Linked DNA regions of Mus musculus. The protein of the gene in region 1 interacts with the protein of each later gene in a pairwise test. Links are inferred from orthologs where the notes say so. Each region holds a gene or a part of one and is shown in the gene's direction. Other genes may lie near its edges. The genes, in order: Wdyhv1, Apip, Prps2, Lztfl1, AU022252, Rpia and Ncoa5.

Region 1 (4,081 bases):
TCCACTGGAGGGCAGGATGATCACACAACTAGCTCTGGTCCCTTCTAGAAACTGCAGGGATCCTCTTTCCCTTGCAATCTCTTTCCATCCTTCTACTGAGAAAGCTTAACTTCACACTCACTTTGTACTAACCAAGAGAGGCTTCATGACTGCCACTCCCTGCCTCCCAGCCTCTGTTGAAGGGAGTATTCAAGCTGAAACAATAAATTGGTAACAGACACAAACACATGTTTAGTTTGTAGGATTTATGGGTTTTGGACAGCAGCTGAAGTTCACCAGAATACCACCAGCACAGCACTTTATGGGGTTGGGGTCTCAGAAGGCTGAGAGTCTGTGGGTGGCCTATAATCTAATCTTAAGAAGTCCAGCGTTTGCAGGGAGGTTCTCTGAGCACTTAAGGCACACACAGGAGACTGGGATGTCTATAGAGACAGTTCTCTATGTCTTTAATTCACTATGCATAAACACTGTTTTAGCAATTTGGTGTCTTCTCTTTTGAAAATAAATATGATTAACACAAAATGCTATCCAGACTCTTTAAATCTTTTTTTTTTTAAAAGAAAAATTCTTTTGTAGTCTAGGATCACCTTGCATTAGAAGCAATCCTCCTGCTTCAGTCTCCTGCATGCAAGGACTTTAGGTGTCTGTCACCACACCTGGTTAAAACTTTTTTTCTTTAAAATACACACACACACACGGAGAGGGAGAGAGATCCAGATGAGAAGAAATTAAATTACAATATGGTGAGATCTGGGTGCACTGCACTAACACCCCCCCCCCCCCCCCCCGTTCGCCTTTCTTTCTCAGTTCCTGCTCTAAAGGTTCAGCTTTCGTGCGTGCCCAAGCATCTCTTAGTTTAGAGTTTCTTCTGGTTTCACACAGCGGGCAACCTTAGCTGGAGTTTTAAGTGTATCCGGAAGCTCATATCTAAACACTGGCAACAACACAAGCAATCCCTCCATGGGAGGGCGACTAGGTCTACGCAGCGTAGCTCAAGAACAGGTTCGGTTTGGGGTCCGGGTGGTGGGGGGGGCGGGGCGAGAGGGAAGCCTCTAAGTGCATCCCGCTCTGCCACAGGCTCCACCCACCACGCAAAACCTGGCAAGAACTACACAGTTCAAGTCATCCTAAGATTCGCATTCCCAGCCCCCTCTCCACCAGCCTCGCCCCACCCCCACCCCCCTCAGATCCCACTCATTCTCTCAGGCCCCGCCCACCCGGAACCACGCAGGCTTCGTCATCCCGGGCTCCGCCCTCACGCTGCACGGGGCCCCGCCCACCCGGCTCTCGGCTCTCCCACCCGGAAACTGTCCTGGCCGCCTACTCTGTTGTCCTCTCCTCCTGGGAGACTGGCGACAATTGCGGCCAGCGGGTTGTTTAGTTGACCTGTGAGCCACAGCTTCGGGTCATGGAGGGGGACGGCCCCGCCGCCACGGCCCCGCAGTACCAGCCGGTCTGTCCTACGCGGGACGCATGTGTCTACAACAGCTGCTATTGGTGAGAGAGCGCGGGCGCGGACCCCGGGAATCTGCGCGGTTTCGCGCGCCGCCACCAATGCGCCCCTCTCCTGGATGCTCCCCTGAGTGCTGCTGCTGGCCTACACTGCCCGGGTTTAGCGCCGGGATGAGGAGGGTGGGGAACGCATTTCTGGTCTCCTTAGCTGAGCCTGAGCAGTGGGGTGAAGTCGGGGCGTCTTAGTGCATAGGGACAAGGGAGGGAGGGGAGTTAGGCTGGAGACCCAATGGTAACTGTTGAAGTCTGCATTGATTCAGGTTGAAGTATACGTCTTTATAATTTTAAAGACAATGGAGACACAGAATTTGTGGTAGTAGGAAATCCAGTTCAGGCAACTGGCTACCCTGATTACCTTACTGGCATTACCTTACTGGCCATATGATAATGGTTGCATTTGCACCATCCTTGCCATATGCTAGGCATTGTTTTGCGTGCATGGTGTAAATTAACTCAGTTGAACCTCACAGTAATCCCAAGAGGTAGGTACTGGTGTGATTGCAGCTTGGAAGAACTCTGAGGTACTGAAGGGTGTGCTGCTGTTTTACACAAGGCCCCGGGATTGTGAGGTTAGTGTCCTAGGCTGCTTGTGCAAACACCGTTCACCTTGCCTTTTTTGTCCCTAGGCCTCATCTTCCTTTTGTGTAGGGACTGCTATCCCAACTCAGGAGAAACCTCAGGATCATTTAAATAGACTCCTCTCAACTCTAGCTGGTCACTCAAACAAGGACTCTAAGAACTTAGCATTCAGCTGTGACTGACCAGTGACCACTTTAGCTCAAGTCCAAGTGCTTGCCCTGGTTCTCAATCTTCCAGGGCTGTGACCCTTTAATACAGATCTTCTTGTTGTGGTGACCCACAGCTGTAAAAACTTCGTTGCTATTTCACAACTAATTTTGCTACTGTTAAGAATCGTAGTGTAAATATCTGATATTCAACGCCATGACCCACAGATTGAGAACAGGGGGTGGTAGAGCGATGTCTTGGAGACAGGTTCTGTGGTAATTATTGACACTACAAAGGCTGAACTATAGAATGGTTGTGGTTTGTCCCAGACCACACAACTAAGTGGAATGAGATCTGGAGTCTACATGGTGGTTGGGAGTCCTTCTTTTTTAGCTGTTGCATTATAGATCTGCTCCGCCTGGTTTCCAAATCCTGCTAGTTTTTATCTGGAACATTTACTCTGTGTCTTCCATTTATTTAGTAAATATTTCGTAGGGATGTGAAATGTATGTTGGTTGATTCTATGCACAGAGGATAGAGCAGTAAACAAGGTAGATAAATTTCCTGGCAGTGCCAAGGACTGGCCTCAGCTGGGACCGGGTTTCTGAAAGAAGGGGTGTTTGGGAGCAGTGAAAACTACTTGAAGTCAAATTGTTGGTCCATGCTGGTGGTCTATGTTCCGCTGATGTGGCTTTCTAGACTGCTCTCTCTGTGTCTGCTTGAGACAGCTTTTTCTTGCTATTCTGAAAACTTTTTGGTTGAAACAGCTAGCTTTCTGCTCAAGACAGCTCTCTCTGCTATTAAAAGTTCTAAAAGCTCTTTGGATAGCTCATGGGTTTGCTGACCAAGTCAGAAATCCTGTTAGAAATACTCAAAAAGTAATTCTTGGGTTTTCTGATCAAAATCAGAAAGCCAGAAAAAAAATTCTAAAAGAGCTGTGTTCACTCTTCTGCCAGCTTTTTCTGTTTAGCTGCTAGGAGACATGCTAACAGAGCTGTGTCAGTAAATCTTATTAGAGAAAATTCTAAAAGAGCTAAGAAAAGATCTGAAAGAGCTGTGGTCGCCCTCCTTACATTGTCCCACCATGTTCCAAATCCTGTTAGAAAAAAATTCTTAGCCGGGCTTGGTGGCGCACGCCTTTGATCCCTGCACTTGGGAGGCAGAGGCAGGCGGATTTCTGAGTTCAAGGCCAGCCTGGTCTACAGAGTTCCAGGACAGCCAGGGCTACTGAGAGAAACCCTGGGAGGGTGTGGGGGAGGGCGGGAAGAAAGAAAGAAAAAAGAAAATTCTTGAAGAGCTGTTCTCAACCTCCAGGTTCCCCTTTGATTATCCTATGAATCCTGTGACCCCAGGCCCTTAATTCTTAGGAGACTACAAGCAGATTTTCTCCCCCTTTTTTTAGCATTGTAAAAGAATTCAGAGATCTGGCTGCTTTTGTAAATTTAGCTAGTTGGGACCTTGTCCGGAGATTACCATTCTGACCACTCCTGGACCTAAATTTGATCTGTTCCAGGCTTGAACTCAGAAATCTGTGTCATATAGAGTAGCTGCCTCTTGTCTATTTAGATCTGTGAAACTCCTTATACAATTCATATTGCATCCTTATGTTTTTGCATAGTTGAGAAATTATATATTTTCAAACTCATGTATTTAGAGCTCTTTCCCACAGCCTTAAGGGCTGTCCTGAGGGTCACAGTATTTACCATTTTGCTGAGACATTAGCCACACCTTCGTTTTCTGGACTCATGCTGTCTCAGATTCTCATGGAGTCATTGATGTTAACTGGGAGGAGGGCATTCCTCTGAGGAGTGTGAAAAAATGTCCATAATTATACAAGCAAGCA
Region 2 (4,201 bases), on another chromosome or scaffold:
AAGTGTAGGCAAGTTCAGTTTTAACAAATGAGGACCAGGCAGAGAAAATATTATATACTATACAGTTAAAGACAATATCCAGGAAGTATTTATTAAACATTACTCCAAAAATGACTTAGGTAAATTGTCCCTATTAGCCCCTCTTTAGAAATCTCAGCACACGGATTTTATTGTTTTTCTTTTTCTTTTTTTTTGTTTTGTTTTGTGGCCTCAGACAGCTCAGAAAGTGTGGGCTAGGCCTACTGTACCAGGTGGTGGTAAGAATGATTACTTAAATGTCTAATGGTTTCTAAAACTGTTTTCTGTGCCCCCATCCTAACCCCCAGCCCATATTCATACACGTAAGGAAGAATAATGCCAGGTCTGCCATTTTATATGCTGTATGTTAAATAACGGAAGGACAGTGGGTATATCTCCGAGTTCAATATCACTGCTTAAGAACAATTTTATGTAATAGGCTGTATGAATTTCATGCCACATATTTTACTTGAAACATTCTAGCAATGTCTGTGATTCTGTATTTTCTAAGTTAAGTCTTGTATGCTGCATACATTAAGTGCAGTAAGATTTAAAGTTTTCCAATAGGGACAGGTCCTTTGAATGAATCAGTATGGGTAATAGTGGCTTTGAATGTATGGGCAGCTATATTACATTAGAGAGGAATGGTAAAATTAAAGAAATTTGACATGTGATTGATAAGGGTCTAAAATAGAGGGATTTAAAACAGACCCTCCCTAGGTGACATCGAAATTTCTCAAATTCTAAAGCAAGGTCACAGAGAAGCCATGTAGCCCTGAAGGCAGGCCAAGGACGGAACCATGCTCTCCCAAGTCTGAAGACAGTTCTTTTGCCGCATGCCATAGGCTAAGTCAGCAGGCCCGTTTCTGGGGGAGGTTGAAAGGAACAGGAAGAGTCCGCACTTAACCTCACAAACCGTGTCCCCAATCAAGAAAGCCCCTGACCCAGGCCCCATTGCTCAGCTAAAGAGAGAAGTGGAGCGAGCGCAAGCCACTCACCCTGCAGCAGCTGAGTACTGTGAAACCACCTCCAACTTGCTCCACGGTCGACAGGCCAAGCAGCAGCACCCTGAGCCAGTCCCAGGCTTCGACGGCTGCTAAATCCCAGAAGGTACCGAAGCAGCGGCTGGTTACAGTGAAGCCTCCAGGAGGCCGCCATCTTCCCGGCTTTCTCCGGGAAAGCTCGCAAGTCAACTAGATTGGCGGCCTCAAGGCCCGTCCAGGCCCCGCCTTGCATGGGCTGGCCCCGCCCACAGCGCACGCTCCCCGCCTTGGACTGGAGGACTAGTCCTTCTAACACCGCCTCCAACCTTCACGGGCACGCCCACCGGCCGGTTTGCGCCGCCGCAGATTCTCCAAAGGGACGAGGTCCCCCTCAGACTCCGCCTCTCACTCTTGCTCCGCCCCCAGGCTGCCCGCTCTGTCGCCTAATAGCGTTCTGCCGGCCGCTCAGACTTGGAACGAGCGCGGGACAGATAACGGAGCAGAGTCAGAACCATGTCTGGCTGTCAAGCTCAAGGAGACTGTTGCTCGCGGCCGTGTGGCGCGCAGGTAAGGACGGCGGTCTACAGCAGGCGAGGTGGGGTCACGGGCCGCGGGGTGGGGCTTCGGCCAGGAGCTCTAGGCGGCTAATTCCTAACCCAGTCCGCGAAAGTCAGAGGCCCCTCTGTGCTAGTAGGACTGCTCTACCGGAATTGTCAGGCACCCCAAAGGGCACTCTTTTGGGCAGTTGTCCTTGCCTATCTTACTTGACGTTATGAGGTGGGAGCTCTTGGAAATGATTCTTCTTTAAGGAAAATGGGCCCTGGGGCAACATGGGTTTTCTTTCAGTTAAACAGGACGCAGGCTTATGAAATGCCTTCTAGTGCTAAGAAAATGGTGAACTAGCGAACTAGAAGAATAAACAGCTTCGATACTAACTGATAAGCCCTGCAGAAGACTCAGGGGAAGTCCACAAAATTATATCTTTACTAACCTTTCGTCTAGCCAAGGGGTCTCAATTTAAAATAAAACAGGAAATATTTAATGCAGAGCATCTGAACTATTATTGTCTTGGAATAAGTGGCTTTTCACAAATTCTTTATAAACCTTGAAATTAGGCACGACTGAAAGGGAGATTTTGCATATAGGACACAGGTCCCTGGTGGCCATCCCTATATATGGAGAACGAGGAAAGTAGAAGCAATGTATCAGAATCAAGGTGCATTGATAGCAGACATGTTTGTCATCCCTTATTAGTAAATCTTGGTGACGGTCATCATAGAAATACAGATTTTTTTTTCATACTAAGTGTTGTGCCAGATCAGCAAAATAACCTGTGATTCAAGAGCTGTGATTGAATTTATCAAGACAGAAAATAGCCACATACAAAAAAGAAGCTGAAGATGTTTTTCAAGTATAGAAGGAGAAGTGGGTGGTTTCAGATGGTGATTTGTCAAAGACTTTTGAATACCTAGCATTTTAGATTGGCCCATATTTTGAGGAAACCACAAAGAAAACTCTAGGACCACCATATACCTCAACTAGAGATCTCATTACATGTCTCTAGCCTCTTCTTGCTGTTTGGAGGTATAGACGCAGTGTCAAATTCTGCTTTTTTGAGGGACACTTAGAAAGTCATATTCTGTGTGAAATTTCCTGATTCAAAAATGTTGGCTTGAGTTCTAAGTGTTGTGCAGATCAAATAAACGACTTTGGTCTGTGTTGGGGGGTGGGGGGTCACTATTGCTGTGGTGAAACACCATGACCAAAGAAAGCAACTTGGGGAGGAAAGGGTTTATGTTGCTTCTACTTCTACTTCACTGCTCATCATAGAAGGAAGTCCGGACAGGAGTACAGGCGAGCAGGAACCTGGAGGCAGGAACTGATACAGATGCATAGAGGGGTGCTGCTTACTGGCTTGCTCCCTCTGGCTTGCTCAGCCTGAACTCAGGACCACCAGTTCAGGGTGGCACCACTTACAACGAGCAGAGTCCTCCCTCATCAATCACTGTGAAACTCCTCTATAGGCATGCCTTCAGCCCATCTCATGGAGGCATTTTTTTTCAACCGAAGTTTCTGCCTCTCAGATGACCACAGCTTGTGCCCAGTTGACATAAAACTAGCCAACGTGAACCCCTTACTACTTTTTTTTTTTTTGTTAACGTATATGTATCCTTTAAGACTTAACTATGTGTTACCTGATTGGAAGGCTTCCCCAACAGTGAACAAAACAACCCAGCACAGTCCACAAGATATCAGTTTGAACCGTTTGATATTAGCCTTTTCTTAATGTAAGAAATACGGTCTTAGTGCACCCAGTGTTTATTGAGCAGAGCGCTATGGTATATGGTATATGGTATATGGTATATGGTATATGGTATTGTATAACTTACAAGAACATGTCTCTTGTTCCTTAGAAAACCATGCCTTGGGGGAAAACCCGGGAAGGCTTGCTTGTTTGCTGGCTTTTGATTTTTTTTAATTTTGCCTCATGTATCATGGCGTTCTATTTATAGTGACGAAAGTTCGATTTGGTTCGGTCTGACTCAGTTTGCCCTATGTGTTAGAGATTAGTATTAAGTTATTAACAACACACAGAGCACAGCAAGGATTTTGAACAAAGGTAAGTTCCAGAAGACACAGCAGGATTCTTCCCCCTCTTGCAGGTTTCTGAGAAACACAGATAGGAGGCCCATGTAGTTCATGAGTCGTAGGTGTTTGTAGTCAGTTTGCCTCTGGGTCCCTGGACTGAGGAAAGGGAAAACATTTGTGCCTTTATGACTATAGAATCACAGCAGCCTGCTTGTCATTTCACTATAGCAGTCACTGCAGGGCATCTGCCAGCAACTAGGACCTGGAGGCAGAGGCAGCTTCAATACTCTTTCCATCTACAGTATAATTTCAAAGTAAAAGAGTAGGGGTTTATAGCCGTATTGCCTGGGTTCAAATCCTGGCCCTGCTGTCAGTTATCAGGTAGACAAGTTAATCTTTTGGTATGATAGGGCTGGTATAAGGTAAAGTTGTCCATACAGCTTTAACAGTAGTGCCTGACCCACAACAAGCACTTGGCAATTCCTGTTGTTGATAGATCATACTTACTGGCATTCAGACATGCATACATACTTTGTTCTTCCTCTTGTTTAGGCTATTACCTTTCTGTTTTCCTGATCTCAGTTTCTGTTTCCTAGCAGAAGAGAACCTAT
Region 3 (4,202 bases), on another chromosome or scaffold:
CCCCAAAGATACGGTCAATCTAAATACTCTCCCAAACTCCAATCACACAAGAAGTGCCTTTAGAGTGGGCTACAATTCAAGGGCAAGTAGTCTTTGTTGTATATGGCAAGCCAAATTTCAGTAGACAGTGGTAGAGCCCAAGCAACTATCTGGCCAGGTTAATCTGTCTCTGAAAGCTTTTAAGAAATGTAAGTCAGGATCACTAGTGCTCCACTCGTCCAGGAGCTCAGGATGAATCTCCTTTCCTTAAGTGTGCTTTGTGCCCAGCGATTGGCGATTGGCTCTGACACTGCATTAGCTACTTCAGAAATGCTGAGGTGGGGGTTGAGGGCAGGGAAAGCAAAGGACTCTGGGAGAGGGGGGTTGGTTGCCGCAGCAGGGGTGGGGGTGGGGGGTGGGGGAGTCTGACTCTAGAGAATCCAAGGGACAGGAAGTTGTGAAGAGAGCCTGAGAGCCAGCCTATCTACATAAAAACGAGGACTCAGAAGGAATTGGTGAGAGGCAACTGACCACTTGAAAATACGCTTTCCTCTTGTGGCCAAGCTTAGGGGTCAAATGGTGGCTGTCATCAATGACTCCTTTACAGAGCAACACACATTTAGGAGCTAGACGGTAACATGTTCAGGTTTTGTGGACCAAGAAGCAAAAGACAAGAAAGAATGTGGGCATTTATATAATAAGAAAAAAAAAAAAAACCAAAATTTTCAGCTTTTGTTGAAAAAACTGGAAAACAAAATATTTGAGCTAATTTTGTAAAATATACATCTAAATTAAATGACAGAGAAAGAGAATTCTTGTTGGTGAGAAACCCTTTTCTTAGTCCATCTTCAAACGTAGTCTATATCACCACTTCAAGTGCAAACATGCTTCACTCCCGTGTGCAAATACAAACCGATGTGTGGGTCTGGCCTATGTAGACACGGTGTGCACTTGAAGCCCAGGTATCACCTCTGGGTTCTGAGCTTCCGGGTTGAAAGGCTGCTCCTGGCTGTGAGGCACCACATGGCCCTTTCCTGCAATGGCTCACTGTGCCCACTTTATCTGGTTGGTTGACCTCCCCATTTAAAGGCAAGTCAGGAAGTCCTATGTGGAGCCTGGAGCTCCCCTACGGAGCAACTGTACTTGGGTGCTTCGGGACCACCCAGAGCTTCAAACCCAGATGCCCAGCCTGCGTGGGCAGAAGCAGCCTCCCAGCACCCTCCAGCGACTCTTCAGCTGCTCCTCCTCCCTCTGGCTCCTCCCCCGGCCCTCCCCTCCCCTAGATCCTGCTGCTGCGTTTTCCCGCTTCACCAGCAGCCCAGGCCACCGCAGCAGCAGCAGCAACAGCCGCAGCAACGGTAGCAGTAGTCTGCATCGCAGTCCCTTTCTCCTTCTCCAGCGCGCTCCTCAGTCCCCGGTCACCATGCCTAACATCGTGCTCTTCAGCGGCAGTTCTCACCAGGACCTGTCGCAGCGCGTGGCCGATCGCCTGGGCCTGGAGCTGGGCAAGGTGGTCACCAAGAAGTTTAGCAACCAGGAGACCAGGTGGGAGCCTCGCTGGGGCTGAGGCAGGGGCCAAAGCATGCCCAGGCCAGCTCCGCGGGCGTCATGCTCTCCCTTCCGGGGCGGGACGGCAACAACGCGGCTGCAGAGCCAGGGCGGCTGCGCCAGGGGAGAAAGAAGTTCAGCAAGGGACCCCCAACCCCCACCCCCAACCCGGGTCACCCTGGAGTCTCTACGCGTATCCTCTGGCTGTTAACCTTCTGGTGGCTGGGCCTCCAATACCCGGACATCGGCGACCTGTCGACCCTTGGGCACCCCAGGCCCCTCTTTTGCACCGGCTCGCCTGGTGTCTTCAGTCCGGAAGGACAAAATCGGGGCAGTTACAGAGCGTCTGGGAGAGTGGGCGCAGTCTGTGGGCATCACTTCGGTGCCGGGAATGGTGGGGGCGGGGAGACATCGGTGGATCCGCCCGCCCCAGTTTCCAACTCTCTGCCAGACAGAAACCCAGAATCCTGCATGGTTGAAAAGGCTCTGCACGGGTCCTGGGCACTGGGTTTATCCCAGGGAAACTTTCGAATGCCACTTCCAGCCGCTGGCGATCAGAGTACTGCCAGCTGCTCAGGTGACTCTCCAGAGCAGCAGGCTGGCCAAGCGCTGCCTTATCCAGAAAGGTGGGTTTGTGCGGGAGTTAGGCAGAGCGTGGGAAAGCGAGACGCACGTGTTGAGCGCTCGCACCCTTCCTTTAAACTTTGTTGCATCTATCATTGCGAATAGCTTCTTTGTGTTTGTGGAGCTTAGCTGCGCACAGCAACAAGACCCCAGTTTGTTCAAAATTCCACCGGTTTCTCACATTAGCAAAAGGTGCCACCAGGCAGGCGGAAGCTCTCCTCAGCTTAGACTAGGGATTCCTTGTCCTACTTGCCCAAAGCCAATTTCTTTTCCCGAATTCTATTTAGCACAGTTAACCAACTATACAGTGCACAGTGACAGATAACCGTTCTATATTTAGTAGCGCACGAATTCATTCCGCAAGTTTTACAGAAAAAAAAAAAGTCATTCTCCGTATTTACAAAAGTTAACTTAGAAACGGATTGTAGACACAAACGTCAAAACTAAAACTGAAATTTCCAGAAGGAAGCACAAAATCTTGATGATGGAATGAATCGAGAATTTGGTTGTGAGATTAAGGGCATTTTTTTTCCTTTTGGTTGTTTTATTTTGGTTTGGTTTTCGTTTTCTGGGACAGACTTTTGCTATGTATTTAGGCTGGTATTGAACTCACCCAGGTAGTAGTCCAGGTAGGCTTCGAACTCACAGGAGAACCCTTGTTTCTACCTCCCAAGCATTAGAATTTCGGGTGTGTGTGTCATCAGACCCAGTTAGATTAATATTGATGACAAAGATGATTTTTTTCTAGAGGTTATGTGAATCCCGTGTGACCTTTTCTAGGTGGTAAACTCCATTTACACAGCTTGGGTGATAATAGAAGAAACCTGTGGACAATTCAGGTGAAAGAACTGCCACTTTGTTTACTTATTGACATTACATCCTGATTGAAGTCCCCCCTCCTCCAAGCCACCCCCTAAAATAAATTAATTAATGGGGGAACAAAAGGAAGTAATCCAAACCTTCCAGGAGTCGGCAACAAGAAAACAACAATGAAATGAACTGTGACATTGAATTAAGAACAGTGAAAAATTTATTTTCATAAGTTAAAAACAACAACAACAACAAAAGAATGCCACTCTGGGGTTGGGGAATGTAGTTCAGTTGGTAGAGTTGCTTGCAGGAGTTTGCATGAAGCCCCTGTGCAGCATCAGATCAGGATATGCTGGCACACACTACGTTCTCAGCCCTTGGGTAGAAGAAGCCAGAGAAGTGGGAATTCAAGAGCATCTTTGGCTACATGAGACCATGTCTATTTTTTTTTTCTAGTACAGAGGATGTATTCCAGGTCTTTGTGTATGCTAGGCAACAAGAAGATTCAACCACTGAGCTCCATCCCCAGCGCCCTTTGTAGACTTCAATAAATGGAGGGTGCTCTAGGACTTTGGAGAAGGATGGAGCTAGGTTTGGACATAGCAAGATTTTGTTAGTCCTTGTCCAAGTTTCAGCGGCTCTGGGGGAACAACTAGAATAAGCCTCTTTGTTTAGAAGGTGTTATCATGTAAATAAAGGAGCTGGCTCTGGAGGGAGTGGGTTTTGAAAGTGTAAGTGAAGCAACCCTTCTTTGTAATCTCAGTGCAGCACAATGCTGCAAGGCCTGGCTAATCTCCATGATCTGGCTGAGTAAGGGTTTACTACTCTAAGTCCTGTATCAGCTGATAGGGGAAACTTACTCAGATGTTCAGGCGGGATTGTTCGTACATTTATTTAAATAGAAAGAAGCCTTGTCTTTAGTTTGGGTTATCTTTTCACCACTTTTGATCCTGACAACGCCTAAGCTTGAGAAGACCCCTCAGCTCTACTTTCTGTTGAATGGGTTGAGGTTTTGTTCTGTTCTATCTGGTGTAGTGGATTTGCTTTCCCTTTCTTTGAGTCAAGTTCTCATGAGGTCTAGGCTGGTCTGGAGTTCACTGTGTCACTAAGTCTGCCCTTGATTTCATGTTCCTCCTGCCCTCACCTCCCATGCGCGGATCATAGAGTACATGTCCCAGGATACCTTGCTACTCCTTGCTACATTTTATGTTCTATCCCATAGAACATTTTAAAAGGTTAAT
Region 4 (3,500 bases), on another chromosome or scaffold:
GCTGCTGTATCCTGCTTTATCAAATATTCAACCAAGATTTAATTGTTGCTATAAAAATAAGCACATTCATCTCATTATATGAAAAATTAGCTTTCAGCCTTAGTAAATGGCAAATTATATGTATGCCAGAGAAGTGGTTTTAAACAATTTTTTTCTTCAATTTTTCAAAACAGGGTTCTCTTTAACAGCCATGACTGTCTTGGAACTCTATTTGTAGACCAGGCTAGCCTCAAACTCACAGAGATCTGCCTGCCTCCCCAAGTGCTAGGATTAAAGGTGTGTACTACAACACCTGGCTTGTTTTAAGAAAAATTTTTATGATTTTTTTAATTAGTAAATATCTCACCTGTATACTTACTTTATATACATGTATGTGTACCTAGTCATGTGAAAGTTTCTCAAGAAAGAAAGGATCCTAAGTGGATAAATTAAATTCTGATTAATGCTAATACAGAAACCACAGTGGTCACTGAGAGAAACTCCACTAAGTTCCATGGATTTGTGAAATTGAGACATAGTTGTGGGTGATAGTAACAGTCTGTTGTCAGGCATGCACATGGTAATCATTACATACTGGAAAGGTTCAGATAAAAATTGTGACGGGCTTAATTCTATAAAGTTCCATAACTTTAGTTTCTTAAGTGATTTCTTTAAAAAGTAGAGCCATATGACATGACAGTTATGAACTTATACTTTTCATATAGAGCAATTTGGAGAAGGAAAAACAACATAAAACATATACTTGGTAATACCAACATTGTTGGTTGACTTGAAACAAAAGTTGGTAAGTTTTGTTGAAACAACAATGGAAACTAGTTAAACGTTGAGTCACACGTAAGTAGCAAAGGTCTTCAGGATGTCTCTAGCTGTTGTGGAGGTCATCAGCCTTGTACTAGTGTCTGTTCAACCAATTACCTAATCTGGTTTATTAAACCCAATGGATGAAAGCAATGGAACTGGCAAAAATATGGTGAGGTCTATTAAAGAATATAGAAAACATTAACATTTTAATAAAGACTCTAAAATTAAAGTGTTTTTAAGAATGATTAAATTTTTCTAGTTTAACAATGTTAAAGAATTATATGTTAAATACTACTTAGTGAAATGTAACTGTGCTAAAAGTGTTTTCTATTAATTTGAATATGATTATGCCAAGATGTTTGATTTTTGTCTGTTTGGAAGAAAGAAAGAAGAGAAGGTGAGGCTAAGGGTCTGAGGGTGAGAGACTTTAGAGGGGCAAAGCTGGAAGAAACAAAACTCTGTTAGTGTGATACTGTCATTGAGAGTAGGAGGTGTGCACAGGATTTGTTAAGGACTCCACCTGTTGGTCATGTTACTGAAATTGCTGGAGCTAGTAACCCACAGTGGAACCACAGGCAAATCTCTTCCATGCTCCAAGCCCTCTGTACAGTTAGGGATTGAAGACAATGGCTCATCTCCCGAGATTCCTTTCTAACCCAAGTAGCTCCGGTAAGAGTAGATTTGAATGCTGCTGTTGATTAGATATTCATTTCTGTGATTCATAGTGGTACTTTAAAAATGTTAATTTGTGTGTGTGTGTGTGTGTGTGTGTATGTCTAGACTGCTAAGAAAGTTAATATATAACTGCAGTGTTTGTCTCATAGGCATACTAATATTTAAGTAATTCATATGATCATTAAAATGTTAGAGAAGTAACAGAAAGTGGGGGAGTTAAGTGTGACTTTTTAAGTTACTAAATATAATAAGGCTAACTTAGAGGAGTATAAAGTAAAAAAAAATAATATTGTAAAGTTAAAAAAGAATAGGTAAAGGTTTAGGGGATATTTTTCAATATGTAGTTATATTTTAAAATGAACACATTTGAACAATTACTCACATCTAATCATTTTAATCTCTCCCAGAGAGTTTTTCTTGCAATCTTTAATTCTTTAAATGTCATGATGTCGGTCTCTTGACTTCAGTTACATTTTGTAAGTTGCTCCTGTGACTAACGAGCCAATGGTGTCATACTGTTTTCAGGCTGGTGGAGGAGACTTTCACCATTGATGAGGTTTCAGAAGTCCTAAATGGGCTGCAGGCTGTGGTACACAGTGAGGTGGAGTCCGAGCTCATCAATACAGCTTACACCAATGTCCTGCTCCTACGGCAGCTGTTCTCCCAAGCTGAGAAGTGGTATCTAAAGCTACAGACAGACATCTCTGAACTTGAAAACAGGTAAAATTTGTACTTGCAGTTGAGGCCCAACTATGATCTCAAAAGTTAGTGATTACTTTGCTAGTACTTTCCTGGGCTGGGGTGTGCGACACTGGGTAAGGTAACAGCAAGGCACAGTCACTAGATGATTCCTTCCTTGAGGAGCACTCAAAGGCCTCTTAAAGACACTCTGTTTCTACTATCAGTTCCAACTACATGAAACTGCTTTTCAATCTAAAGTACCTATTCCTTAGAGCATCTTTAGTAACATGGTTAATATTACAGTGGTCTTGATTCATTGATCTGCTAAGAAGTAAAGATTAGAACAGTTGAAGATATACTAGAGAATAATTTCCATCTATTCAGCCTAATAGCATTGCAAATTTGTTTCTACATAACTACATTTGAAACCATACACTTAACTTAGGAAATGTAAACTATAAAAGGCTTAAAAATCTTACAGTATTGAAAAGCTCATAAATTCAAAACCTCTAGTAAGATCAATGAAGTTGAAGCTGGTTCTAAGAAATAACATGCCACTTGGACATCATGGTTCACACATACAGTTTCAATTCTTAAGACTGCTTGTGTTATACAGTAAGACCCTGTCTCAAAAATAAATAAATAAACAAACAAATAAATAAATAAATAATTGCCAGAAGTCAAGAAGGACTCGCTGCTAAGCCCTGGAAATTGTTCTCTGAACAGTTTCTCCTCAAGTGGAAAATGATGAGCAGTGCTAAGTACAGTCTTCCAGGAGGGAAGGAAGTTCGTTTGGCTTCTGCAGCTGTCCATTTCTCAGTGGGTGACTGGTGAGAAAATACTGAGTGCTGATGTTTGAAGAAGATAGAAGAGTCGTCTGTACGTAGGAGTATAGTCCACATATCTATCTTGGTAGATTATCAGGGGCTTGCTCACAACACCAGCTTTCATGGAATATGCTAGCATTCTCTCTCAGTAGATACTGTGGACTAAGTCATATCCAAGAAAACTGTACTACAAATCAGACTCTTTCTTAGATGACAGTAAATGTTATGTAATAGGGAAATCACTGCTGTACCTCAGAAATAGAGGGAAATATAAATATCATTCATATAGGTATTAGCATTGCTGTTTATGTCTTACGACACGATATACATATCAAGTACAAAGTACCAAGACCTGTGAATGATTTAAATTGCTTTACAGGGCATGAGATTCTCACCCATTTGTAATCAAATAACAGTTTTGTACCCTCTTATGCTCATCTCCCTAACATGTAATAGGTTGGTTCTTGTAATTTTTTTTTTATTCTTTTATGTTCTAGAAGTCTATTCTCAATGAAT
Region 5 (4,070 bases), on another chromosome or scaffold:
TGGAAATATATGTTACCAGTCATCACGGGCAGACAAGGCTGGCGTTCCAAGCCCGCTTATTGACTTGGCCTTAAATCGCTGTGGCATCCCAAAAGACAGTCATTTTCTTAAAAACAAAAAACCCAAAAATACTAGCTAGAGGGTCCTCCACAGGGCGGAGCCAGGCAGCCCCTGCTGGCGACGTGGCAATCCCACGTCCTGAAAGAGCGCTGCTGTTGGATTAGGGAGCAGGGAAAGCATGATTGGAGAACGAACCGGAAGGAAGATGTTGCAGAAGCACTTGGACACTTGCAATGAAGTACTGCTGGGAGACCCTAGCGGCCGCCTCGGTTCCCTCTAGGAGGCCTTCCCAAAAGAAAAAGGTCAGGTTTTTCTTGGCTTGGGCTGTCACTACTGGCTGGACCTTTAGGGTTAGCATCTGCCCATAAGAACCGGGTGAAGCTCCCAAAGTCCGCCAAGAGCTCCCTAGCCAAGAGGTCCCTTGCCTCCCTGCCGTCTCATCCCTGCTCTGCTCCCCAAGTTCCCCAGGTCGCTCCCGGCCACCGGGCTCCGGACCAGTCGCACCTTGAAATAGGCGACCTGCAGGTAGTTGTACGGGCTCCGCTTGTTGAACTCCAGGTCCAGTTCTTCACTCAGCAAGTGGGCAGAGGGCGGCCCGAGGCAGCGGCGTAGGCAGGCGGCACGGCGCAGCACGGCTCCGAAGAAGCGCAGGTCGTGCAGGGCGGCGGCGCCCGGGTCCTGGCTCAGGCTGGGGTCCGGACCGAGATCCAGGTCCGGTGCCCACGGCAGTTCGGTGGCACAGCGTGTGCGGCAGCGCAGGCGGAGGGCACGCAGGGCCGCCCGCGAGCGCAGCGCCCGCTCCATGTTCAGGACCACCCCGGGCCAGTCCCCGCGCGAGTAGGCCGCGGTCCCCTCTGCGTAAAGCAGGTCAGGGGCTGCCACGTCCCATCCCGGCTCAGACTCCGCCGCAACCCGTAAGGCGGCGGCGGCGGCGACCGCTAGCATCGCTGCCAGCAGCCTCCTTTCGCTCACCGCCATGGCCTTGCTCCTCCACTTAACGGGACTGCTCGCCTGGGGCACATTCCAGAGTCCCGCCCCCCACAGAAGCCACGCCCAGAGACGAGCCACGCCCCAAGTCCAGAAGCTCGTGGCAAGGAAACTTGTACCGCCTCTTGCTTTCAACCAATCCAAACACTTACTCTTCGTGAGGCTCCGCCTCTAATCTCATGCGCACAGCTCAATGGACTGAGAACGAGAAAACCCCGCCCACAAGCTGTTGTGCGCCTGCGCTTTAGACTGAGCTCCCTGCGGGTGGTGGGACCGAGGTGCTGTTATGGCGGACCCCGGGGTTCCCGGCCGGTACGAAAGTGGTACGGGAAATCTGGGGGTGAAGGAGGCGGCGGGTCCTGGAGGTAGGTGGGACTGAGTTGCCTGGGTAGGAGGTCGCAGCCGGGTGGCTCTTTCCTGCTGGCTCACGGAAGGCTGAGGGTTTCAACTTACGCCTGTGTTCGGGTGTGTATCGCAGGAGCCCTGGTGGAGCTCACCCCGACCCCCGGCGGCCTGGCTCTGGTGAGCCCCTACCACACCCACCGGGTCGGGGACCCCTTAGACCTCGTGGCGCTCGCCGAGCAGGTGCAGAAGGTGAGGAATAGCCATCTCCGTACTTTACCCTGCCTCTTTGGGCTCGGGACAGCCTGTGAACTCGGCAGTACTGAAGTTACCATTCCATTTCACACGAAGAGGATCACTCTATCCCAATTCCTCTGTTGTTGTTTGTTTTGAGACAGGGCCTTTCTACATAACTCTGGCTGTCATGGAACTCTCTATATTATAGACTAGGCTGGCCTCGAACTGACAGATCCACCTTCCTCCCCCACCCTCCAACCCCAAAACCCTATGCTGGGATTAAATGTATGGCTTCTATACCAAATTCTTAAATAGTCACATTTTATTCTGCTTCCCATAAGGTCTTTATCTGTTACCCAGGAGCTTGTGGAACTTAAATATATGCTCTTTCTTTCCTTTTTAAAAAAACAAAACAAAATAAAACAAAAACTGCTGGGGTTGTAGTTTACTGTTGCCTAGCCCTGAATTTGATTCTTAGCACTACCAAAAACAGCATGCAAAAAGGCACAGGGTAAAATTCCTATTGAAAAAAAGACCACACACAATAAAACTGGAGGTAGTTTCATTTGCTGTATAGCCCAGGTTGGCTTTGAATTCAGCCTCCCAAAGGCTGGGTATTACAAGGGTCGCTGTCACACATGGTGAATTTCAGTGGATACAGTCAGTATTACTATGTCCAGAGCTTAGGCGTCGGTTTCCATAATAGGTAAAATAAAGAAGATATGCAAAATAATGGAAAAGACCGTAGAAGTTTTGACAGATTGGTTTTGATTGTTTCTCTCTGGAGCTCTGGATCTGTAAAATGAGATCTTTGAGGTGGAGAGGCTCATAGGGCTAAGTGGGACTCCAGTTTCCTTCTCTTAGCAAGACTTCCCCTGAAGACTCTTTTACAGTGTCGGAGCCTGGCTGCTTTAAAAGCTTCTAGTGTTCTCTTTCTCTTGTATAAACTAGCTTATTTGGCAGTTATCGTGTTCAAGAGTTTGTTTTGATCAAGAAAATTAATGATTGACATGCCAAAAATCCCTCACACAAAAAATGTCTGTTGTAGTATTTAAGAAAAATTCAAATGTTTAGAAAAACCTTTTTAATTAAAACTTTACTTTTTTTTTTTTTTTAAGAGAGGTGGGCTCAAAAACAGGCTTAGAAGACTATCACGTGTTTGTTTAATCAGGCTGCTATTGGAGGGAGGTAGCTAGGGACAAAATCTTGGGCAATCAACACTTTGAGTTTCAGAGTGACGGTAGTGGACTCAGCCACAGAGAGAACACAGCTTTTTTTTTTTTTTTTTAAGATTTATTTATTTTATATATGTGAGTACACTGCCGTTCTCGCCAGAGACACCAGGAGAAGTCATTGGATCCTGTTATAGATGGTTATGAGCCACCATGTGGTTGCTGGGAATTAAACTCAGGACCTCTGGAAGAGCAGTCAGTGCTCTGAACTGCTGAGCAATCTCTCCAGCCCAGCTTTAGTCTTTTATACTGGTGACATATAAAGGATATATTATTCTGTTGCCTCCAGTTCTCCAGAATAATCCATCTTTGAGAAGCTGAAGAAGAAAATACTTTAAAAACAAATTGAGAGCTGGGGAAATGGTCCAGTGGTTAAGAGCACTCACTGCTCTTGTTGATGACCCAGGTTTAGGTACCAGAACTCACATTGAGACTCACAGCTGTTTGTAACTCCAGTTCCAGGGGATCAGATGCCCCTTTGGGCATTGCTTGGACACGATGCACATACACACATGCAGGCAAACACCTATATACACACAAAAACTTTGAAAACTAATGAAATCAACATATTCACCGTCTACATACTGAAATACACTTGCAGAGAGGACCGTCTCCTGACTCCCTTAATGTGCAGTCAGAAAGCTTTCAGAGGTTTGATACCGAGACATGGATTTTGGAATTAAGTTTAACTATGTCCAGATCCTTCAATTGCCATTTATTATAAAACCTTAGGTCACCACGCCTACGTGAGTCTTAACACCTAACTAAGGTTATCGTTTCTGGAGAGTTAGATGCCATTATTAATGTAGAGGCTCTTGGAGTGCTTGGGCCCAGGATCAGTGCCTGCTAATTATGAGTACCCTTTGGGACTGGCGGATGGCTCAGGGGTTAAGAGAACTTGCTCTTGCAGAGGATGCAGGTTTGGTTTCTAGACCCTACCTGGTGGCTCACAGTCATTTCTAACTGTAGCTCCAGGTGACTCAATGACCCCTCTCTTCTGACTTTTTCAGATGCCAGGCACACGTGTGGTACACATATGAATACATATACAATAAATACAACTTTTCAAAAATGTATTCTTTCCTTCCTTTCTTTTTAGTTAGGCTCTGGTTTGCATGGTTAACCTTTCCTTAAAGGGAAAAGGGATTAGAGAAGGCCTGGTGCCTTAGTTAGGGTTTTACCACTGTGAACAGGCACTATGACCAAGGCAAC
Region 6 (3,500 bases), on another chromosome or scaffold:
AGATTGACCTTGCCATCGATGGTGCTGACGAAGTGGATGCTGAGCTCAATCTCATCAAGGGTGGAGGGTGAGTGTTGTGGGGACTTTGTTGCTAAAGAGACGGTCAGCTAACCCTTAGCGAAGCGAAATGGAGTACAGAGTAAACAATTGTTCCTGATACACATGAGTTTTTCTTCCTGTCAGCACCCTGATACCATGTGCTGTTGATCCAGCCTAGCATTTCTGACCATTAGTGTCTATCTGCTGACAGGTAACCTGGGCCTTTTCATCGAGATGGTTTGTCATGCTGTTCTGTGTACACACACAACACATTATTGGCTTAGACTATTAGGTCTGTGCCTTATGTGTTAAAGTTTTGAAGTCCGTAATTCCTTGAGGGGTGCTCTCCCTTTATTTGGAAACATTTATCAGAATGACAGGGTGTTCAGTTTTTTAAATGTATTATGTAATACTTGTTGCAGGTGTGAGGTAATTTATCTAGAGAGCAGTAGACATAGGCCAGAAGATTCAGTATCCCTGGCTTGTGCTGTCACAGTCCACAGGGCAGGTGCTCCAAACCGGTCATCTATTCAGGGCATGTCAGAGTCATCTCCCTAACACAGTGCTGCTTAGATGCCTGTTGGAGGGGAAGTGCTTGGCCTGAATAGAACCATTGTCTACTTTCTAGGCTTCTACCAGACACAGGCAGATGCTTGTGTATTCCATCTACTAGAAAGCAGCTCTATAGGATTGAGAATGGCTCTTTAGAAACGAAGCCACATTTCTCTTTAAGTGTCAGGATTGAATACATTTGGGACTCCCATGTCTGATCCCACTTCCCAAATGAAGATGATCTCACCCTACTCTTTCCTGTCAGAGGCTGCCTGACCCAGGAGAAGATCGTGGCTGGTTATGCAAGTCGTTTCATTGTGATTGCTGATTTCAGGTACTGTTCCAGGGTTCTGCCTACCAGCAGAGAAGGTGTCTGGGTTCCCAAGTTTGGTCCCCATGGAAGAGGAGAGAGCCTGTATAGGAATGTAGGAAGGATTTCCTGCTCTCTAGGATTCCAGGCAGTGACTCCTGCTGACTACCGTAGCACCCAGCACTCTTTCGTGGAGCTGGGCCTTCCTGTTTGGGGATAGGGAGGAAGCAGTGTCACCCTGTGGGCAGAGCTCCTCTGCCTGAGTTGTTACTCATTAGGTCTTCACAGGTAACCTCAGGACAAGCCCTGAGGTTCACAGGTAGTGACTCAGCACATCCTGCTTCCTCTGGGGTCAGGCTCTTCTCCACGTGACTGTTATGCTCAGTCTTTGACCAGGCCGATTTTCTTTCAAGGAGCCTGAGAGAGGAGGCACTGTTCTGAGCATGTTAGAAGAAATACCTGCATTTGTATCACTCGGGAAATACCATAAGTGCAAGAGCAACCTAAGTTAGCCAGCCAACCATCAGAGCAGATTTTATAATTTTTACCTTGATATTCAAGTCTCTTTAGTGTAAAGCAGCCCGTGTTTCTGAAGCCCCTGTACTGTCCTGATCTCTTTCCCCTCCAGCTGTCTCGTTAACCCCTTGCCTGAATTTGGTTTTGTGTATTGAACTTACTTAAATTTGATTGACATTTTTTCTAGGAAAGATTCAAAGAACCTCGGGGATCGGTGGCACAAGGGGATTCCCATTGAAGTCATCCCAATGGCCTACGTCCCAGTGAGCCGGGCTGTGGCCCAGAAGTTTGGGGGTGAGGTGGAACTTCGAATGGCTGTCAACAAGGCAGTAAGTGGCCAAGGAGGTTTCTGAGCACTCCGACTCAGTGTGCTGCTCTAGTGCTTTCTGTGTCAGTTAGGTCCTAAGACCTTTGTGTGTGTGTGTGTGTGTGTGTGTGTGTGTGTGTGTGTGTGTGTGTGTGTGTGTATCTGTGTGTATCTGTGTGTGTCTTGTGTCCAACCCCTTAATCTCCCCCCATAGAAGGAGTCATGGTTCTTTCCTGACATCCCTCGGGGTTACTTGAGGTCTGGACTGCTCAGTGAACAGCCTCTAAACACTGTCTTTTGGGAAGTTCTAGGGGGCAGAAAGTTTTTCAGGTTCTGTGGTGTGTGTGGTATTTTTCTTTTCTTTTTTTCATCCTTTCTGAGGCTATCAATGTAAGAGTACAACTCTTATTTCAAAGAGGATAAGAGATAGTTTTAGTTTAGAGCCAAGTAGGAATAACTCTGGCCTGGGAACATTGATTTAGGTTATTCCAAATTCCAGTGAGGTAACAATCTTTTAATATGTACAGAGACAAAACAAAGGCCACAAATTACGCTTTTCATATATATTGTAAACACCAGGTAGGCAGGTCATAGAAAAATGGTGAAGGCCTCACCCCTGTCCTAGCATTCCCCTCCCCGAGACAGGGTTTCTCTGTGTAGCCTTGTCTGTCCTGGAATTAGCTCTGTAGACCAGGCTGGCCTCAAATTTATAGAGAACTGCCTGCCTCTGCCTCCCCTGGGATTAAAGGTGAGCCCTACCATTGCCCCAGCTCTGGTATTGTTCTTAGCCTTTTGGTTGGTGGGAACCATACACACAGTGTGTCTACATTTCAGAGGGTTTACCTTTCAAAAGGTGTAGATGGCCCAAGATACTCTGCCTGTGGATTAGTAACAGTCTATACTAAATTCCAAAGCCAATGAAGTGCCAGTTGGTTAATCTAAGGACAGAAGGCGAGTGGAAGATATTTTTTTTCAGAAACTTTCTGTACAAGATAGCCCCACTCTCTCTTTTTTTTTCAGTGTTAGGAGTTGGGTTCAAGGACTGGAGAGATGGCTTAGTGGTTAGGAGCACTGACTGCTTTTGCAAAGGTCCTGAGTTCAAATCCCAGCAACCACATGGTGGCTCACAACCACCCGTAATGAGATCTGACGACCTCTTCTGGTGCATCTGAAATTAGCTACAGGGTACTTATTTATAATAATAAATCTTTGGGCCGGAGCGAGCAGGACCAACTGGAGTGAGCAGAGGTCCTAAATTCAATTTTAGCAACTACAGTTGTACAGTGTACTCATATACATAAAATAAATAAATCTTTAAAAAAAAAGGAATTGGGGTCAAGGCTTCTGGAAATACTAGGCAAGTACTCTACCACTAAGCTACATCACCTGCATTCTCTATGGGTGGGGGTGTGTGTGAGCACATGATACTCCTGTGGAGATGTTTCTCTTCAGCATCTGACTGTGAGTTACAAAGAACTTTTCTTTTGCACTTAAGTAAACAACCAAATGTAATGACCTCAAACCGAAGTGTATATAGTTATTAGAAATAAAATTTGGGTATTAGAGAAAATAAATAATCAATAACTGTACCCTGGTGTCAATACTTCCTTGACTTCCCTTTAGAAAGCAGCTGTGATAACTGGTTACGTAGCACCTCCCTTCCATTTTTGTTTGAAGGGAGGCTACCTGGAAGTATGTAGTCCAGGTTGACCTTGAGCTCCTGATCTCCCTGCCTCCTACTAAGTGCTGAGATTAGAGACAGACGCCACCAGGCCT
Region 7 (3,923 bases), on another chromosome or scaffold:
CCTGTGTACACCTGGCTCTCAGTGAGGTCTGGCTTAGGCATCCGCTACCTGAAATGTGCTCCCAGGGATGAGGCTCTCACAGACAAGCTGCTGTCTGTCAGTGTGCTAGAGTAGTTAAACTGACAGGAGAGGCTCTGGTCCACTAGAGGAAGGCTCTTGGAGTGCTTTGAGCCCAAGCACTGAGACTCAGCCATCGGTGCCCTGACTGTGGCTTTTAAGCCTAACCCCTTTTCCACCTGCCTATGATCTCTGTTGACCAGGCGCTCACACCCATAGTCACAGGTTTGGTAGAATTGTCTCTGAGGAGCTGTCCTTAGCTTGTGTATAGATATTTATGTAAGGTTCCAAGAAGTGTCCTCAGTGTCCTGTTGCTCCATTAAGAAGAGGTGGTTATTTAGGGTTACAATTTAATCTTAGTCCATGACTTTTGAACTGATGAATTAAAAAGCTGTAGTGGCTCTGCCCTGAGCACAGCAGGGAGCCAGGCTTCACACAAGACTCTCCAGCCTCCTGCTGCGGTGTGGAGGCTGCCCAGCAGCTCCCCAAGTGGCCTATTTGACACTGTGGGAGGCTGTTGTGTTCCTTTGGTTTTTACCACAGGTCTGTGATCCACTGAAGAAATAGCTCTGTAGGAAGAAGGTGTGTCCCACACTGAAGAGCGAGCGATGCTCTGTCCCTCAGCCCACCCCACTCTAGGTTCAAGACTTGTTAACACTGCAGTGCTTCTCTGCTTTGAGGCTGAGAAAGGCTTGGCAAAGCACAGCAGTGGGCACTTGGATCTATCATGGGAGAAAATGACTGGTGTCATTCCCTCCTGTAGAGCATCGCAACATGCCCCAGGCAGATGCCATGGTGCTGGTGGCCAGAAATTACGAGCGCTACAAGAATGACTGTCGAGAAAAGGAACGTGAGGAGATTGCCCGACAGGCAGCCAAAATGGCTAATGACGCCATCCTCCAGGAAAGAGATCGTGGGGGCCCTGAAGAGGGAGGTCGTGGAGGGCACCCTCCAGCTATCCAGAGCCTCATCAACCTCCTGGCAGATAACAGATACCTCACTGCCGAGGAGACGGACAAGATCATCAACTACCTGCGCGAGCGGAAGGAGCGGCTCCTGAGGAGCAGCGCCGACTCTCTGCCTGGTGAGCTACGTGGCAGGGCCGAGGTGAAGTTCTCACTCTGCATTTCTCTCATCCCGTGCTCTGTTGGGAGGGTGGCATGCCCAGGGTTCTCTGGGGTGGGCAAGGGAAGTGAGCCATCCTTTGGCTTCTCCCACAATCCATGCACGCTGATGATGCTGTTATGATGATCTCCATTCATTGCTGAGCTCTGCTCCCTAGAGTTGGGCTGCTGGGGCTTAATCTATCTAGTATTGTTGGCGTCCTGGGAGCCATGATGGATACCCCTTGTTTATTTGTTTTGTTTGTTTTAAGCAATTCTGTTGGGCATTGGGCTGCTCTCTGGGAAGCAACCGCCCCTTTGGAATGTGATGTTACTGTCTGTACTGTATGATTGTTGTGGTGTGTGATTGCTGTTCTTCTTGTGGCTGCTAGGCCTCCTGCCCTTAGGGGGCACTCTCAACCAGATGCCTCCCTCTTCTGTCTTCCAGGCCCGATTTCCCGCCAGCCACTCGGGGCGGCCTCGGGTTCCTCGCTGAAGTCACAACCAAGTTCACAACCGCTTCAGAGCGGCCAAGTGCTCCCTTCTGCTACACCCACTCCAGCCGCACCCCCCACCTCCCAGCAAGAGCTTCAGGCCAAAATCCTCAGCCTCTTCAATAGTGGCGCGGTTGCGGCCAACAGCAGCTCTGCATCCCCCTCAGTGGCTACCGGAAGCTCCCAGAACCAGAATTTTTCCACAGCAGCAAACAGCCAGCCTCAGCAAAGACCGCAGGCCTCAGGAAATCAGCCTCCAAACATTGTGGGACAGGCAGGGTCTGCTCGGAACATGGGCCCTAGGCCTGGGGCTCCTTCCCAAGGGCTCTTTGGTCAGCCTTCCAGTCGCCTGGCACCCGCCAGCACCATGGCTAGCCAGAGGCCTGTATCTTCCACAGGTATTAACTTTGACAATCCAAGTGTACAAAAGGCTCTGGACACCCTGATTCAGAGTGGCCCTGCCCTTTCCCACCTGGTTAGCCAAACTGCAGCACAGGTGGGGCGGCCCCAGGCCCCCATGGGATCTTACCAGAGGCATTACTGAGGCTCTACTGGTCTACTGTTCCTAGCCCCACCCTTCCCTGGCCCCTCCTACTTCATCCTAAGTAGAGTTGTTTGGAAGTGTTCGAAACACTTTCCAGGTCAACATCAAATATCCTAAGTTTCTCTCACCACTCCTTCCTGCGGCTGTTGCTTATCACTTATCAGAATCAGAACTTAGACTGCATTCGGGGCTGGATCTTTTGTTTGGGTAGAAGATAAGTGTTCTGGGATCTGGGCTCAGCTTCTGTCTGGGATCGCTCTGGCACCTGCCTGGCAGATTTGGAGGAACAGGAAGAAGCCAAGCGCAGCTGCCCTATGGGAACACCATTTCTGGAGGCAGTGGTCATAGCCTTAGTTTTCACCTCCACAGCAGCCAGAGCTGCGTCCTGCCTGGCTCCCAGTGAAGCCAGGTGGTCTTGGCAGACAGTGTCATCATTGTTCCATCAGAGAATAGAACTCCAAGGACTCAAGAGTGATTTCTCTGGACTGTGAAGTGCCATGTGGCAGCCAGAGAAGAGAGGACTCTTGTGACTGCATCAGAGTGGTCCCTTGAAGTTGGTTTGGTTTCGTATTTTTTATTTTCCTGGAGGGTCTGCAGACAAGTGAGCAGCTCTCTTGGCACTTTGACATGAACTGTGACTCTGGGGCCCACTGCTCTCCACAGCGTTAGCTGCACCTTTCTCTCCGGCTGCACCTCATGCAGTCAGCACTGGGGGCAGCTCCAGGCTCTGGAGCTGGACACCTTGGTGGTCCGTGATTTCTTTTGAGCCCCAGGCTTTTGTTTTCATTCAGACTCTTGTTCTGTTTTCTGATGAGCAGGAGACGGGGACCACTTGATGGTAGACTGTGGTAGTTGGGTATGTTCTCATACAGAAGAGCATTCGTGTAACTTCTGAGACAGGGTGATGTTTAGAGAAGGGCTCTGGCTGCTGCCCTGAATGGAGCCAGAGGAAGAAGCGCCTTTTCCTTTGGGAAAGGCTGCTCATTAAATGAAGTGAGGATCAGGTCAGGGGAGGGTCAGGCCTGGCTGGGCGGCAAGAGTGCTAACTCCAGTCCAGTCCCTGCCAGAGGCTGAGCAAACCAGTTTCAAAAGCTAAGTCCCCAAATGGCAGCAGTTTATGTTCTGATCTGTTTGTGTTATACGGTGGGTCCCCCTCCCCCTTTGGAACTCTTGTGTTGTTGATAAAATGAAATAATTACTTTTTAATTAAAATGAAAAAGTCAGACCTGTGCTAATCTTTCTTGGGTGTGTCTGCAGCAGCACCTCTGCTGAGCACTTTCCCCAAGAGCAGAGTCTCTGTGCCCAGCCTAAACTCGCTGTGCTGCCCGCCAGTGAGAAGTGTTGATAGGAATGCCTACAGCAGACTCACGCTCTGTGCCTGCTGCTAGAGTCGGTGTATTGCAGGTGTCCAAGATAGGTTACGGGGAAGGAAGCCACTGTGAGGAAGAGCCTCTCTGGGCCATGGCTGTCATTCCTCTTTTGCCTTCATGCCTGTTGCTGCCCATTGTGCAGGAGTTTGGCATAATCTATAGTCAGAACATGGAGGCCTTGAAGAGCCTTTAATCTACTTGGCATGACTGTCCTGACCCTCCTCTCAAGAAGAGAGTTGCTGCCTCCCAGAGGGTACCATGTGACTTGACACCTAGGAAGCACCTCCTACCTCAGGCACAGGGCCCCAAAGCTGGTGTGCTCACTTCTGTAAGCAGAGGAGAGTTTCCCACCTAA

Evidence for each region.
Region 2: the proteins of Wdyhv1 (region 1) and Apip interact in binary tests that used the Homo sapiens proteins (3 or more experiments, as listed by UniProt). The two-hybrid records come from large-scale screens. The link is inferred for Mus musculus from reciprocal best matches to the Homo sapiens genes NTAQ1 and APIP.
Region 3: the proteins of Wdyhv1 (region 1) and Prps2 interact in binary tests that used the Homo sapiens proteins (3 or more experiments, as listed by UniProt). The two-hybrid records come from large-scale screens. The link is inferred for Mus musculus from reciprocal best matches to the Homo sapiens genes NTAQ1 and PRPS2.
Region 4: the proteins of Wdyhv1 (region 1) and Lztfl1 interact in binary tests that used the Homo sapiens proteins (3 or more experiments, as listed by UniProt). The two-hybrid records come from large-scale screens. The link is inferred for Mus musculus from reciprocal best matches to the Homo sapiens genes NTAQ1 and LZTFL1.
Region 5: the proteins of Wdyhv1 (region 1) and AU022252 interact in binary tests that used the Homo sapiens proteins (3 or more experiments, as listed by UniProt). The two-hybrid records come from large-scale screens. The link is inferred for Mus musculus from reciprocal best matches to the Homo sapiens genes NTAQ1 and C1orf50.
Region 6: the proteins of Wdyhv1 (region 1) and Rpia interact in binary tests that used the Homo sapiens proteins (3 or more experiments, as listed by UniProt). The two-hybrid records come from large-scale screens. The link is inferred for Mus musculus from reciprocal best matches to the Homo sapiens genes NTAQ1 and RPIA.
Region 7: the proteins of Wdyhv1 (region 1) and Ncoa5 interact in a two-hybrid assay, tested with the Homo sapiens proteins (3 studies listed by BioGRID and IntAct). The two-hybrid records come from large-scale screens. The link is inferred for Mus musculus from reciprocal best matches to the Homo sapiens genes NTAQ1 and NCOA5.

Annotation. Positions count from the first base shown.
Region 1 is NC_000081.6:58,140,085-58,144,165, forward strand, and holds the start of Wdyhv1 (protein N-terminal glutamine amidohydrolase), read left to right. Parts: upstream 1-1,281; 5' UTR 1,282-1,408; coding exon 1,409-1,497; intron 1,498-3,123; exon of another isoform or gene 3,124-3,185; intron 3,186-4,081. UniProt on the Homo sapiens protein: Mediates the side-chain deamidation of N-terminal glutamine residues to glutamate, an important step in N-end rule pathway of protein degradation.
Region 2 is NC_000068.7:103,072,274-103,076,474, forward strand, and holds the start of Apip (methylthioribulose-1-phosphate dehydratase), read left to right. Parts: upstream 1-1,401; 5' UTR 1,402-1,514; coding exon 1,515-1,568; intron 1,569-4,201. Other genes in the region: Pdhx (pyruvate dehydrogenase protein X component, mitochondrial), read right to left, coding at 1,017-1,176. UniProt on the Homo sapiens protein: Catalyzes the dehydration of methylthioribulose-1-phosphate (MTRu-1-P) into 2,3-diketo-5-methylthiopentyl-1-phosphate (DK-MTP-1-P).
Region 3 is NC_000086.7:167,379,792-167,383,993, reverse strand, and holds the start of Prps2 (ribose-phosphate pyrophosphokinase 2), read left to right. Parts: upstream 1-1,402; coding exon 1,403-1,524; intron 1,525-4,202. UniProt on the Homo sapiens protein: Catalyzes the synthesis of phosphoribosylpyrophosphate (PRPP) that is essential for nucleotide synthesis.
Region 4 is NC_000075.6:123,711,126-123,714,625, reverse strand, and holds part of Lztfl1 (leucine zipper transcription factor-like protein 1), read left to right. Parts: intron 1-2,001; coding exon 2,002-2,196; intron 2,197-3,500. UniProt on the Homo sapiens protein: Regulates ciliary localization of the BBSome complex. Together with the BBSome complex, controls SMO ciliary trafficking and contributes to the sonic hedgehog (SHH) pathway regulation. May play a role in neurite outgrowth. May have tumor suppressor function.
Region 5 is NC_000070.6:119,229,925-119,233,994, reverse strand, and holds the start of AU022252 (uncharacterized protein C1orf50 homolog), read left to right. Parts: upstream 1-1,270; 5' UTR 1,271-1,333; coding exon 1,334-1,412; intron 1,413-1,525; coding exon 1,526-1,641; intron 1,642-4,070. Other genes in the region: P3h1 (prolyl 3-hydroxylase 1 isoform 1 precursor), read right to left, coding at 565-1,038.
Region 6 is NC_000072.6:70,771,676-70,775,175, reverse strand, and holds part of Rpia (ribose-5-phosphate isomerase), read left to right. Parts: intron 1-2; coding exon 3-67; intron 68-856; coding exon 857-925; intron 926-1,604; coding exon 1,605-1,746; intron 1,747-3,500. UniProt on the Homo sapiens protein: Catalyzes the reversible conversion of ribose-5-phosphate to ribulose 5-phosphate and participates in the first step of the non-oxidative branch of the pentose phosphate pathway.
Region 7 is NC_000068.7:164,999,857-165,003,779, reverse strand, and holds the end of Ncoa5 (nuclear receptor coactivator 5), read left to right. Parts: intron 1-820; coding exon 821-1,141; coding exon of another isoform or gene 1,142-1,164; intron 1,165-1,608; coding exon 1,609-2,198; 3' UTR 2,199-3,423; downstream 3,424-3,923. UniProt on the Homo sapiens protein: Nuclear receptor coregulator that can have both coactivator and corepressor functions.